Linked DNA regions of Lonchura striata. The main gene of each other region encodes a partner of the protein of the gene in region 2 in a complex. Links are inferred from orthologs where the notes say so. Each region holds a gene or a part of one and is shown on either strand. Other genes may lie near its edges.

What was found.
Region 1: TRMT112 (region 2) and THUMPD2 share a complex: the UniProt entries of both Homo sapiens proteins name them as parts of the heterodimeric THUMPD2-TRM112 methyltransferase complex. The link is inferred for Lonchura striata from reciprocal best matches to the Homo sapiens genes TRMT112 and THUMPD2.
Region 3: the proteins of TRMT112 (region 2) and METTL5 are in contact, whole or in part, in a crystal structure (PDB 6H2V), measured with the Homo sapiens proteins. The link is inferred for Lonchura striata from reciprocal best matches to the Homo sapiens genes TRMT112 and METTL5. Residues at the interface, in NP_001359000.1 of Homo sapiens: Met1, Lys2, Leu4, Thr5, Leu8, Leu9, Ser10, Ser11, His12, Phe21, Pro22, Leu23, Pro34, Val35, Asn38, Asn40, Phe41, Arg44, Met45, Lys48, Glu92, Arg111, Gly112, Ile113, Pro114, Asn115, Met116, Leu117; in NP_001280115.1 of Homo sapiens: Asn52, Lys53, Val54, Gly75, Leu76, Val78, Ile82, Leu87, Asn91, Thr100, Ile102, Asp103, Met104, Val105, Gln106, Cys107, Asp108, Asn114, Arg115, Met116, Ser119, Phe120, Asp121, Arg150.

What each region holds. Positions count from the first base shown.
Region 1 is NC_134603.1:379,251-383,000, forward strand, and holds the start of THUMPD2 (U6 snRNA (guanine-N(2))-methyltransferase THUMPD2), read right to left. Parts: upstream 2,290-3,750; 5' UTR 1,819-2,289; intron 1-1,818. Other genes in the region: MAPK15 (mitogen-activated protein kinase 15), read left to right, coding at 2,355-2,423. UniProt on the Homo sapiens protein: Catalytic subunit of the THUMPD2-TRM112 methyltransferase complex, that specifically mediates the S-adenosyl-L-methionine-dependent N(2)-methylation of guanosine nucleotides, most probably at position 72 (m2G72), in the U6snRNA of the major spliceosome.
Region 2 is NC_134638.1:1,912,772-1,916,521, reverse strand, and holds the start of TRMT112 (multifunctional methyltransferase subunit TRM112-like protein), read right to left. Parts: upstream 2,155-3,750; 5' UTR 2,064-2,154; coding exon 1,983-2,063; intron 908-1,982; coding exon 806-907; intron 1-805. UniProt on the Homo sapiens protein: Acts as an activator of both rRNA/tRNA and protein methyltransferases. Together with methyltransferase BUD23, methylates the N(7) position of a guanine in 18S rRNA.
Region 3 is NC_134610.1:19,743,680-19,747,429, forward strand, and holds the start of METTL5 (rRNA N(6)-adenosine-methyltransferase METTL5), read right to left. Parts: upstream 2,767-3,750; 5' UTR 2,689-2,766; intron 2,657-2,688; exon of another isoform or gene 2,336-2,656; 5' UTR 2,323-2,335; coding exon 2,214-2,322; intron 1,570-2,213; coding exon 1,455-1,569; intron 1,050-1,454; coding exon 868-1,049; intron 494-867; coding exon 411-493; intron 129-410; coding exon 77-128; intron 1-76. UniProt on the Homo sapiens protein: Catalytic subunit of a heterodimer with TRMT112, which specifically methylates the 6th position of adenine in position 1832 of 18S rRNA.

The DNA.
Region 1 (3,750 bases), on a different chromosome or scaffold from region 2:
GAAATATAGATTAGATGAAGAAACTGGGATTTTTCCCTACTAGACTAAAATTAGACATCAGCAAGTTATAAAAGCAGTATATTTGAGGTCAGTATCCAGAGTTTTGCAATACAAAATACATTGCTTTACACAGTGGCTCCTGTTTCATTGCATATAATAAAAAGCTAGCACTAGCATTTACCTCACTTAATTTACAAAATAGACTTAGATTGACACTGCATAACATCCTTATTCACTCAGTAGACTAAATTAAAAATGACCTAAACAAAATAAAATTTAAAAATGAATTAAAAATTCTTAAGTCGCTCCCTAGATAAATCCATGCTGCTCTTTAAGTAACATGCTCTTTTGTCAAATAGGACAGCACAGACTTGAACAGTCTTCTACTTCTGAGAAGTTGTTTTTAACCTTGATTGTCAGCTAAATCTGTGTGAGAATTAGTAATTTGGGAATTACTAACGGAGAACAGAGCTTTTATCTGGAGTCTGCAAATGCCATATGCAATCAGAAGGAACTGAAGCGTTTGGAGAAGACAGAAACACTCAAGATTCTCATGGAAAAGCTTTCAGCATAAATGTCTGAGAATTACTTATTTAATATTTTCATACAGTTATTCAACAGACAAGACTCAAATAATGTAAGAGGAATGAAAAATATAATGAAAGTGTAAATTAGCACCCACCCCCTCTCCATGATGGTATTTAATAAACAGCCAACAGGTGTGAAAACATTAGATTGTATTGTTCTTACTTAGTTCAATATATTTAAATACAGAAATATTTTCTGGACTGTTTAAAGGCTTACCCAGGAGAAAAAAAAAAAACAACAGAAAAGTCACCACACAAATCCTGCTCTAAAATGCATAATCTTTAACAATCCAGGAAATTTTACTACAATAGGTTAAAGTTTCATCTCTAAAGTGTCCTCTCTAAATAAAATTTAAACATCAAATTAATACAGAAATAGAAACTTGAGAATAAGCTCATACAATAAGCTCATACAAGGGTTCTTCTCATCGCCATCATCCACAGGACAACACAACTAAGTCACAATTGTCCCCAGCTGTCCACAATCTAATCAACAATTGTCACAACTCAGACTTGAACTTCGGTGTCTGCTGCTAAGTGCATACACACACATTTTATGTCTCTATGAGCAGGATAAGGCTGATAAATGTATCCTGTTAGACATAAACAATACAGCCTAAAGGAATTAGTGAGTTCCTTCAGGAATCCTAAATTAACATTTAAAACTAAACTGAATGCAATTTCTTAAAAATCATAGCCTGAGAGGAATAAGTCTCTTTGTAAGAGTCAGAATTCATTATTATATAAAGGAAACTTCCACAAAAAATGCATTATGTCAGTGAGGGAAGCATACACCAGCAATCCAAATCCCTGCATGACTGAAGATGCCAGTTCACTAATAAAACTGAAGTCGAATCTCAAAGAAACATTTACAGTCATACAAATCCATTACACTAAATCATATTCATATCCTCACTTTAAAAAAGTCACAACATAGTATCTAGTGAGTGCGTTCAGCTTGTCAATTTTGATTTCAACCATCTAATTTGGACATGGATCAGAAATCTTCTCTATCTGCTATAAAACACAAAGTAAAAAGCAAAGCTCTAGAGAACATGACAAAAGTGTTAACTCTCACTGAAAAGTGTCATTAAATAAACTTATAAACTTTAGCCTCATCACAAAAGTTGGAACTGGGGGGGGGGGGGAGGGGGGGGAGGGGTAGGGAGGAAGAATCAAAATTCACGGGGGAAAAAACCAAAGAAGTATAATTCAATCTCGGAATGTTTACCTTGGAACGGACCTTAAAGCTTGTCCAGTCCCATCAACCTGCCAGGGCAGGGACACCTTCCACTGTTCCCAGGCTGCTCCAAGCCCCGTCTAGCCTGGCCTTGGGCACTGCCAGGGACCCAGGGGCAGCCAGAGCTGCTCTGGGCACCTGTGCCAGGGCCTGCCCACCCTCCCAAGGAAGGATTTCTTCCCGAGATCCCACCCTGCCCTCCGGCAGTGGGAAGCCATTCCCCTTGCGATGTCCTCCAGGCCCGTGTGCCAAACCTCTCTCCGGCTCTCCCAGAGTCCTGGAAGGGGCTCTCCCTGCTCCTTCTCCTGTCTCCTGTCTCCTCTTTCCTTTCTCCTCTCTCCTTACTTCTCTCTCCTCTCTCTTTTCTCCTCTCTCTCTTTTCTCCTCTCGCCTCACCTCTCCCCGCTCCTTCTCCTCCCTCAGCTCCCGGTCTCTCGGCGCCGCCTGCCGCGCCCCGCGGCGGTGCGCGCATGCACGGTGCGCGGTGCCGTTGCCATGGCAGCGGGTGCCAACAGGGAGGTGCCGCCATGAGCCCGCCCGAGGTGGAGCCGCTCGTGTGCCGCAAATACGAGATCAAGAGGCGGCTGGGCAAGGGGGTGAGTGCCTGGCGGGGGTTGGCCTGGCCGGGGCCGGGCCGAGCTGGGGTGCCCTGTGGGAGCTGGAATGGTTCCGGAGCTCGGAGGGCCCTTGAGAGCTCGGGAGGCCCGTGTGGCGTTCAGGGCACCGTGAGGGCTCCAGGCGGCCCCGGGGTGCTGAGGGGGTATTTGGGAGTTCAGGCGTCCGTGGGAACTCTGTCGCTCAGGGCCCGCTGGGAGCTCCAGGGGACTGTAAAATTAAATAGTAACATGTATCTGTCTCAAAGTACATTCTTTCTGTGCCTGCCAAATCCTACATTTACTGTAACCCCATCATTTCAGGTCATGCTGCATCAAGTAATGTCTTCGCCATAAAATGTATTTTTATACATAAGCCAGTGGTAATTTCTAAGATATGTCTCCTGAGGCAGTCTCTAAGCCCTCCTGAGTTATCTACTTTTCTATTCCGGCAGCTCTTTGCTATCATTAATTGCGTTGATACGTATTTAAATGTTTAAGTATTTCCCTCATTATGTTCAGAGTCAAGGAGTCACTGAGGTGGAAAAGCCCTCTGAGCCTGTGGAGTCCAGCCACTCTCCCAGCACTGACAAGGCTGCCACTGACCCCTGTCCCCGGGTGCCACATCCACGTGGCTGTTAACTCCCCCCAGGAATGGGGACTTCCCCCTGCCCTGGGGCAGTCTGTTCCAGAGCTGCACAGCCCTTTGCAGGAGAGATTTTTCCAATACCCAACCTCAGCCTCCCCTGGCACAACTTGAGGTTGTTTCCCAGTTGCCAGTAGGGTGGTATTGTAGCACTTACCCAAGGTACTTGTACAACTGTTTATATTGCCTGATGCGTGGCAAAGGTCCTGGTGCCAAGTTCCAGGACCACACATGTTGCTGGGAAGCCTGCTTTGGTGTCCTTACATGAGTGTTTAATCACTAGAATCATACATTGCAGTTATTTTGCTTTGGATAAGTACTTAAACATTAAATGGGCATTTTTTGAGTGGGATGTGATCCCTTTGTGCAAAGGTATAATAATTCCTAGGCTGTGGAAAGTCCAGATTAAAATCTATGGCCTAAAATAAAAACACTGGATCTATACCACAAGTGAGACTGAGTAATCATCATTTGCAAGTATCACAGTCATCCAGAATAGGGAAACCTCAGATAGAAGTTCCCGTTCCCTTAACAGACAACACAGCTTTTAATTGAAAAAAAGGTTTAGTGTTGGACCTGACAGTGCTATGTTAGTGGTTGGACCCAGTGGTTTTGGAGGGCTTTTCCAACCTCAACAATTCTGGGATGCTGTCAATACAGACTTTGGTAAAAAGTCTCTCTCCA
Region 2 (3,750 bases):
CCCGTTCCCATTCCCATTCCCATTCCCCTTCTCGTTTCCCCGTTCCCCATTCCCGTTATTCCCGTTCCCATTCCCCATTCCCGTCATTCCCCTTTCCCATCACTCCCGTCATTCCCATCTCTCCCGTTATCCCCGTCACTCCCGTTATCCCCGTCATCCCCGTCACTCCCGTTATCCCCGTCACTCCCATCATTCCCGTCACTCCCGTCATTCCCATCTCTCCCGTTATCCCCATCATTCCCATCACTCCCGTTGTCACTCCCGTCACTCCCGTTATCCCCGTCACTCCCGGTATCCCTGTCACTCCCGTTGTCACTCCCGTTGTCACTCCTGTCACTCCCGTTGTCACTCCCGTCATTCCCATTGTCATTCCTGTCACTCCCGTTATCCCTGTCACTCCCGTTATCCCTGTCACTCCCGTTATCCCCGTCACTCCCGTTATTCCCGTCACTCCCGTCACTCCCGTTGTCACTCCAGTCACTCCCGTCATTCCCATTGTCATCCCCGTCACTCCCGTTGTCACTCCCGTCATTCCCGTCACTCCCGGTATCCCCGTCACTCCCGTCATTCCCGTTGTCATTCCTGTCACTCCCGTTGTCACTCCCGTTGTCACTCCCGTCACTCCCGTCATTCCCATTGTCATTCCCGTCACTCCCGTTGTCACTCCCGTCACTCCCGTTATCCCCGTTATCCCCGTCACTCCCGGTATCCCTGTCACTCCCGTTGTCACTCCCGTTGTCACTCCCGTCATTCCCGTTGTCACTCCCGTCACTCCCGTTATCCCCGCCGTTCCCGTTCCGCTCACGCTCTCGGCCGCCTCCCTCAGCGCGTCCCAGCGCAGCCGCGGCACCAGGCGGGACACGAAGGCGGCGTTGAACGGCACCGGGCGCTCCCGCACCTCGGCGGCCTGCGGGCAACCACGGGCTGAACGGGCTCGTTAGGGGTTAATTAGGGGTTAACGGGGCTCATCAGGGGTTAACAGGGTTAATTAGGGGTTAATTAGGGGTTAACGGGGCTCATTAGGGGTTAACGGGGTTCATTAGGGGTTAATTAGGGGTTAACGGGGCTCATTAGGGGTTAATGGGGTTCATTAGGGGTTAATTAGGAGTTAACGAGGCTCATTAGGGGTTAATGGGGTTCATTAGGGGTTAATTAGGGGTTAACAGGGTTCATTAGGGGTTAATTAGGGGTTAACAGGGTTCATTAGGGATTAACGGAAGTGGGATAACGGGGACTGGGGTAACGGGAACTGGGATAACGGGGACTGGGATAACGGGACTGGGATAACGGGGACTGGGATAACGGGACTGGGGTAACGGGAACTGGGATAACGGGGACTGGGATAACGGGACTGGGATAACGGGACTGGGATAACGGGAATGGGGTAACGGGGACTGGGATAACAGGACTGGGATAACGGGGATGAGATAACGGGGACTGGGATAACAGGACTGGGATAACGGGACTGGGATAACGGGGAATGGGATAACGGGAATGGGATAACGGGGACTGGGATAACGGAACTGGGATAACGGGACTGGGATAACGGGAAGGAACCGGGATAACGGGGACTGGGATAACGGAACGGGATAACGGGAAGGAACCGGGATAACGGGAGGGGATAACGGAACGGGATAACGGGACTAGGATAACGGGAAGGAACCGGGATAACGGGGACTGGGATAGCGGAACGGGGATAACGGGACTGGGATAACGGGGAATGGGATAACGGGACTGGGATAACGGGGAATGGGATAACGAGACTGGGATAACGGGAAGGGGATAACGGGGAATGGGATAACGGGGAATGGCATAACGGGACTGGGATAACGGGACTGGGATAACGGGGAATGGGATAACGGGAACTGGGATAACGGGGACTGGGATAACGGGGAATGGGATAACGGGACTGGGATAACGGGAAGGAACCGGGATAACGGGGACTGGGATAGCGGAACGGGGATAACGGGAGCCCCCCGTACCTCGATCCTCAGGGGGAAGCCGCCCCCGGGCCGCAGCCCCGGCACGTGGGAGCTCAGCAGGTTGTGGGTCAGCAGCTTCATGGCGCCTCTTCCGCTTCCGGCGCGTCACTTCCGGCCAGGAAAGGCGCGCGGTTGCCACGGCAACGGGACGCTGCCAACCCGGAAGTGGGCGTGGCCTGGAGGGTGGGGTTGGCTTAAAGGGGCAGAGACAGGAAAGTGATTAGAATCGATTGAAATGATTTAAAATTAATTAGAATTATTTGAAATTAATTGAAAATGTTTAAAATCATTTAAAATTCATTTAAACTGTTTAGAATAAATTAAAAATATTTAAAATGTATTAAAGTTAATTAAAATTAGTTTAAGCTATTTAAAATTAGTTAAAATTATTTAATATTAATTTTAAAAAATTAAATTATTTTAAATTAATGAAAACTTTAAAATTAATTAAAATTATTTTAAAATAATTAAAAATATTTAAGATTATTTAAAATTAATTAAAACTATTTAAAGCTAAATAAAAATATTTTAAATTATTTAAAATTAATTAAAGTTATTTAAAATTAATTAAAGTTAATTAAAATTAATTAAACTTATTTTAAAAAATTTTAAATATTTAAAATTATTTTAAATTAATTAAGGTTATTTAAAATTAATCAAAGTTATTAAAACTTAATTAAAATTAATTAAAACTGGATAAAATTAATTAAAAATATTTAAAATTATGAAAAATTAATTAAAATTATTTTAAAATAATTAAAAATATTTTAAATTATTTAAAATTCATTAAAACTATATAAAATTAATTAAAATTATTTAAAATTAATTAAAATTTATTAAAGTAATGTAAAATTAATTACAATTCATATAAGCCAATTAAAACGATTTAAAATTCATTAAAATAACTTCAAATTATTTAAAATTATTTAAAAATATTTAAAATTCATTAAAATATTTTAAATTATTTAAAATTCATTAAAGCTAGTTAAAATCAATTAAAATTATTTAAAATTAACTACAATTCATTAAACCCTCCTTGAGGCCCCCAAATCCAACCCAAATCAGAGACAAAGGCGGGGGCACAAATTCAATTTATTTATTCCCAACACCCCCAGAAATCAAAGAGAAACCCCAAAAACGAAGTTGCGGAGATAAGGAAACACCCTGTGAAAAATCTTTAAAATTTCATAAATCTAACAGTAATAAAATGGCTATGAAAATAGTAAATAGAAATTAAAAATATATAAAAATACTATAAAAATAGTAATGCAATTACACTAATAAAATACTTAGAGTTAGGGCAATTACCAGATGATAAAAAGCAAATGATTGTCTTTTTTAATAAGCGCTTCATTATTAAGCTTTTAAATTTTTAAAAACCAAGTGATTGGAGGTTTTATAAACCTGAAAACATATTTAATGCGCTCCTGAAGAGAATTAATTACTCGTGTAATATTCATTTTAATATTTGCAAAAAACCAATCATAAAATTCACATTTTTCACAGGGGGATCCCAATCCCCCCAGAAATCAAAGAGAAACCCCCAAAAACGGAGTTGCAGAAATAAGGAAAAACCCTGTGAAAAATTTTTAAATTTTTATAAATCTAATAAGAATAAAATGGCTATAAAAATAGTAAATATAAATTAAAAATACATAAAAATACTATAAAAATAGTAATGCAATTACAGTAATAAAATACTTACAGTTACAGCGATTCCAAGATGCTAAAAAGCAAATAATTGTATTTTTTAACAAGCGTTTTACTA
Region 3 (3,750 bases), on a different chromosome or scaffold from region 2:
AATTTCTCTTGGGCTGTTATGTCTGCCTGGTAGTGTTAGAAATATTTTTTTTTTTTCTGTTAAAAATAAGTATTACCTGCTAAGACTTCCATCTTCACTTCCCATTCTGCTGCTTTCTTTTGGATGTGCTACAATAGTAGATAGTGTAAAAATGAGCTTTTTAAATTATCTTTTATAAACATCTACACCTTTGGACTTAATCAGTCTCCTGTGCTTTTAATTTTCAAGCCAAAGCATTAAATCATGTAATTATCTTGATGTATGTGAGATTGTAGTTACTTGATGTAAATAGTATTTATCCCAAACATAACCCACAAAGTAGCTGGCAAATCAGTGAAGCTACAGACCTCTATATAGCCAAATATTTTGTTGTCTGGTTAGTTCTTGCCCTACTAAAATGAAGAACTTACCTGTCGTGTTGAAGTTTTGTGAAGGGAATATACAGCTGTTTTTGCCATTTGTAGAGCAGTTTTCAGAAAAATCATATCAATTCCTAAAAGAATAATGAAACTATTAGAATTGTTAAATGAAAGCTCAAAGACCTGCTTAATTTTTTCTGGAATAATAGCTACTTGAGAAACAGCACTGAATACATTAAGGTACAGGAAATATTTCTAAAATATACTCAATTGCTTTTAATAAAATAAAAATGATAGGGATTCAAAATACCTAGTATTGTTTATTTCAAGCCCCAGTGACTGTTAGTTACAATGCTGAAGTTGCTAATCTTAGGAAGCCAATTCCAGATAAACAAAACATTAAGAAATTAGAATATGCAACTAATAAAGAAGGGAGATGTTTCACTGAAAGCATTTCCCTTGCTGTTTCATTTGTGTTGATTTCTAACTGAGCTTCACAATTACCAACCTTTGTTATGCTTGGTACCAAAAGGAGGATTCATAATAACTGTGTCAAAAGTATCTGACATGCTGTCAGATAAAGAACAGATGTCACACTGAACCATGTTGACATTTGTGAGATCAAAGTCTTCAATATTGCTATTAAATGTTTCCAGTGCATCTCCATCTATGTCAAGCCCCACACAGAATCTATTAAGAAAAGTGTCACATATTAGTCTACTACAAACTACAATGGCGTTAAAATTCTACAGTAAGTAAACACAACTTGTTTTATCTAGGAAATGTAACAAGTATACGTAATAAATTCAGTGCTGATAAAAATTCAAGTACTTCTGTTGCCCTTTCCCAAGTATATATCTAAATTTGTTAAGGAAGTTTAATGTGTTCATGTAATGCTTATGGGGAAGCAAATGACTTCCAAATTCATGACAGATGTCCATCACTTTCATGGTATGAATGGTGATTGATGGTTGAAACTTGGTACCACATAATAAACCGGAAATATTTTAGTTCAGCATTGCTACTCTTTAATCTTACTTTCTACTTTTCTATGACAGAAAGAAATATAACCAGAACTTAATATTAAATACTTACCCTGCTCCTAACATTGCACTTCCAATGCTGAGCATGCCACAACCACATCCTAAATCTGCAATTGTTTTGTTTTCAATATCGTCAAAAGTATTGTGAATTGTATAAAGCATACATGCTGGGGGAAAAAAATCCCAAATAAAACAGGTCAATAATGCCAAATATGTACATGATTAGTCAAGAAAAACTGTTTCTACCTTCAGAAAACTTAATTTTGCATTATAAACCCCCTTTACTTAAACTGATATTCTCTCTTTTCCATTTATATGTGAAGAATCAAAAACATTTTTATGAGTTACAGACTATGGATCTTTGGTGGAGAGATAGAACTCTGAGTATTGCTTGTGGAAAAAGTATGCCTCTAAATGTTTTGGGGGAAAAACAATATAAGGATTTAAAATATGGAAAAGAGCATGATTAAGGTATAGATGAGTGTATAGTGTATATACCCTAAAGTGACTATACACTTTTACTAGTTTTGCAGGCCATGACATAACTCCATTTCAGCTTCAGATTGGTTCTATCACAACATTATCTATTAGATTAATTTATTTTATTTTTGGATTGGACATTGTCCTAGGTTGCATTTTTCATACAAAGACAGGCATTACCAGAATACTACTATACACATTCCTGTTGGATATACTTTCTTAACTACTTTTAGTATAAAGCCTGCAAAGGAGACAATGCAGTAGAAAAAACTTTTTGAATGAAAAGTGATGAACTAGTAAAAGAGAAAACAATGGTGTGGATCACCTCTACCTGCAATATGAGGTCTTGTTGGATACTGTTCAAGGAGTAGTTTTGGACTTTCAAAAGTATCAACTTGTTGAAGACAGCTTTCCAGTTCTTTAAGCTTTAATTTCTTCATGTTTATGTTTTAACTGAAGAAAATAACGTGTAATCAGTTACAGCAATATAAATAAACTACGTATAATATTAAATTATTTCATACTTAAAATCCCCTGGTACTCTTCAGCCTCTCCCGGGCGTTTTCACGGTGCCGTTTCTCGGGACGCAGCTGGCGGGGCATCGATGATGGGGAACGAGGGCAGCCCTTCTCCTCACCGGCTGCCGGAGTTCGGGCCCTGGGCTCCGTTTCTACCGCTCAGGCCCGCCCGCCGCTCAGCCCTAAGCGGGGCAGGAGCCGAGCCCCAGCGACCGCCACCACCCGCACCGTCGGCTCGCCCACAGCGCCGTCTCCCCGCCGGCGCCCGCTCGGTACCGCGCCACTCACCGCGGCTCGGCCGGGCCGCTCCGAGCTCCGGCCGCCGCCGCGCACTTCCGACGCGCCGCCCGCCCCCGGCGCGCCCCGCCCCCGGCGCGCCCCGCCCCGGCGCGCCCCGCCCCGGCGCGCCCCGCCCCGGCGCGCCCCGCCCCGGCGCGCCCCGCCCCGGCGCGCCCCGCCCCGGCGCGCCCCGCCCCGGCGCGCCCCGCCCCGGCGCGCCCCGCCCCGGCGCGCCCCGCCCCGGCGCGCCCCGCCCCGGCGCGCCCCGCCCCGGCGCGCCCCGCCCCGGCGCGCCCCGCCCCGGCGCGCCCCGCCCCGGCGCGCCCCGCCCCGGCGCGCCCCGCCCCGCCCCTTCCCGGGCTGATGGGCACCCGCGGGAACCAAACGCCAGCGAGCTTCCCCGCGTCTCGTTAAAATTTAAGAGCTTTGGTCTCATATGTTATAAACACCAGACATTTTATTGCAGCCTTACGTGTCACGGCTGAGCGGTGCCTGAAAAAGCGCCGGGGGACACACCTGGCAGACCGGGCTTTCTCGGTGGTCCCACTCCCGAGTGCCCTTAGGGACACAACAAGGAACTGGAATTTTGCTGGTGGGCTGGGAAAAGCGGTCGTGCCGAGAAGAGTAACATTCACCTGGAACCGCAACGCGACACAAGCCGCCAGCAGACGGGCAGCCATAGGAAACGCAGGCAAAGCCAGAAGAGAGGCAGCTGCCTTGAGGCCCGTAGCTGTCGGGTTACTCTCATTTAGGAATAGATTTTTTCGTATAAGGCTTTCCGTTGCACTGTTGAAAATCTATTTATCGAGGTTTAAAACCGCCGATCGTTGTACGAAACACGGTAACTCGCATCCACGTGCGTTCTCTCCTGGTAGCAGGACGCCGGTACCTCGGGGCGCGGCTCCGCAGACACCCCGGGGTGCGGTGCTGCTGCTCGGCACCCCCGGCACCCCGCTCGATGGCAGCGAGGGCAGAACCGCCGGCCCGAAGCCTCAGAGGTGCCTTCCACACTCCCCGCAGTTGCTCCTGCCCTCAAAGCCGCCGCCACCACCTGAGCCCGGCGAGATCCTT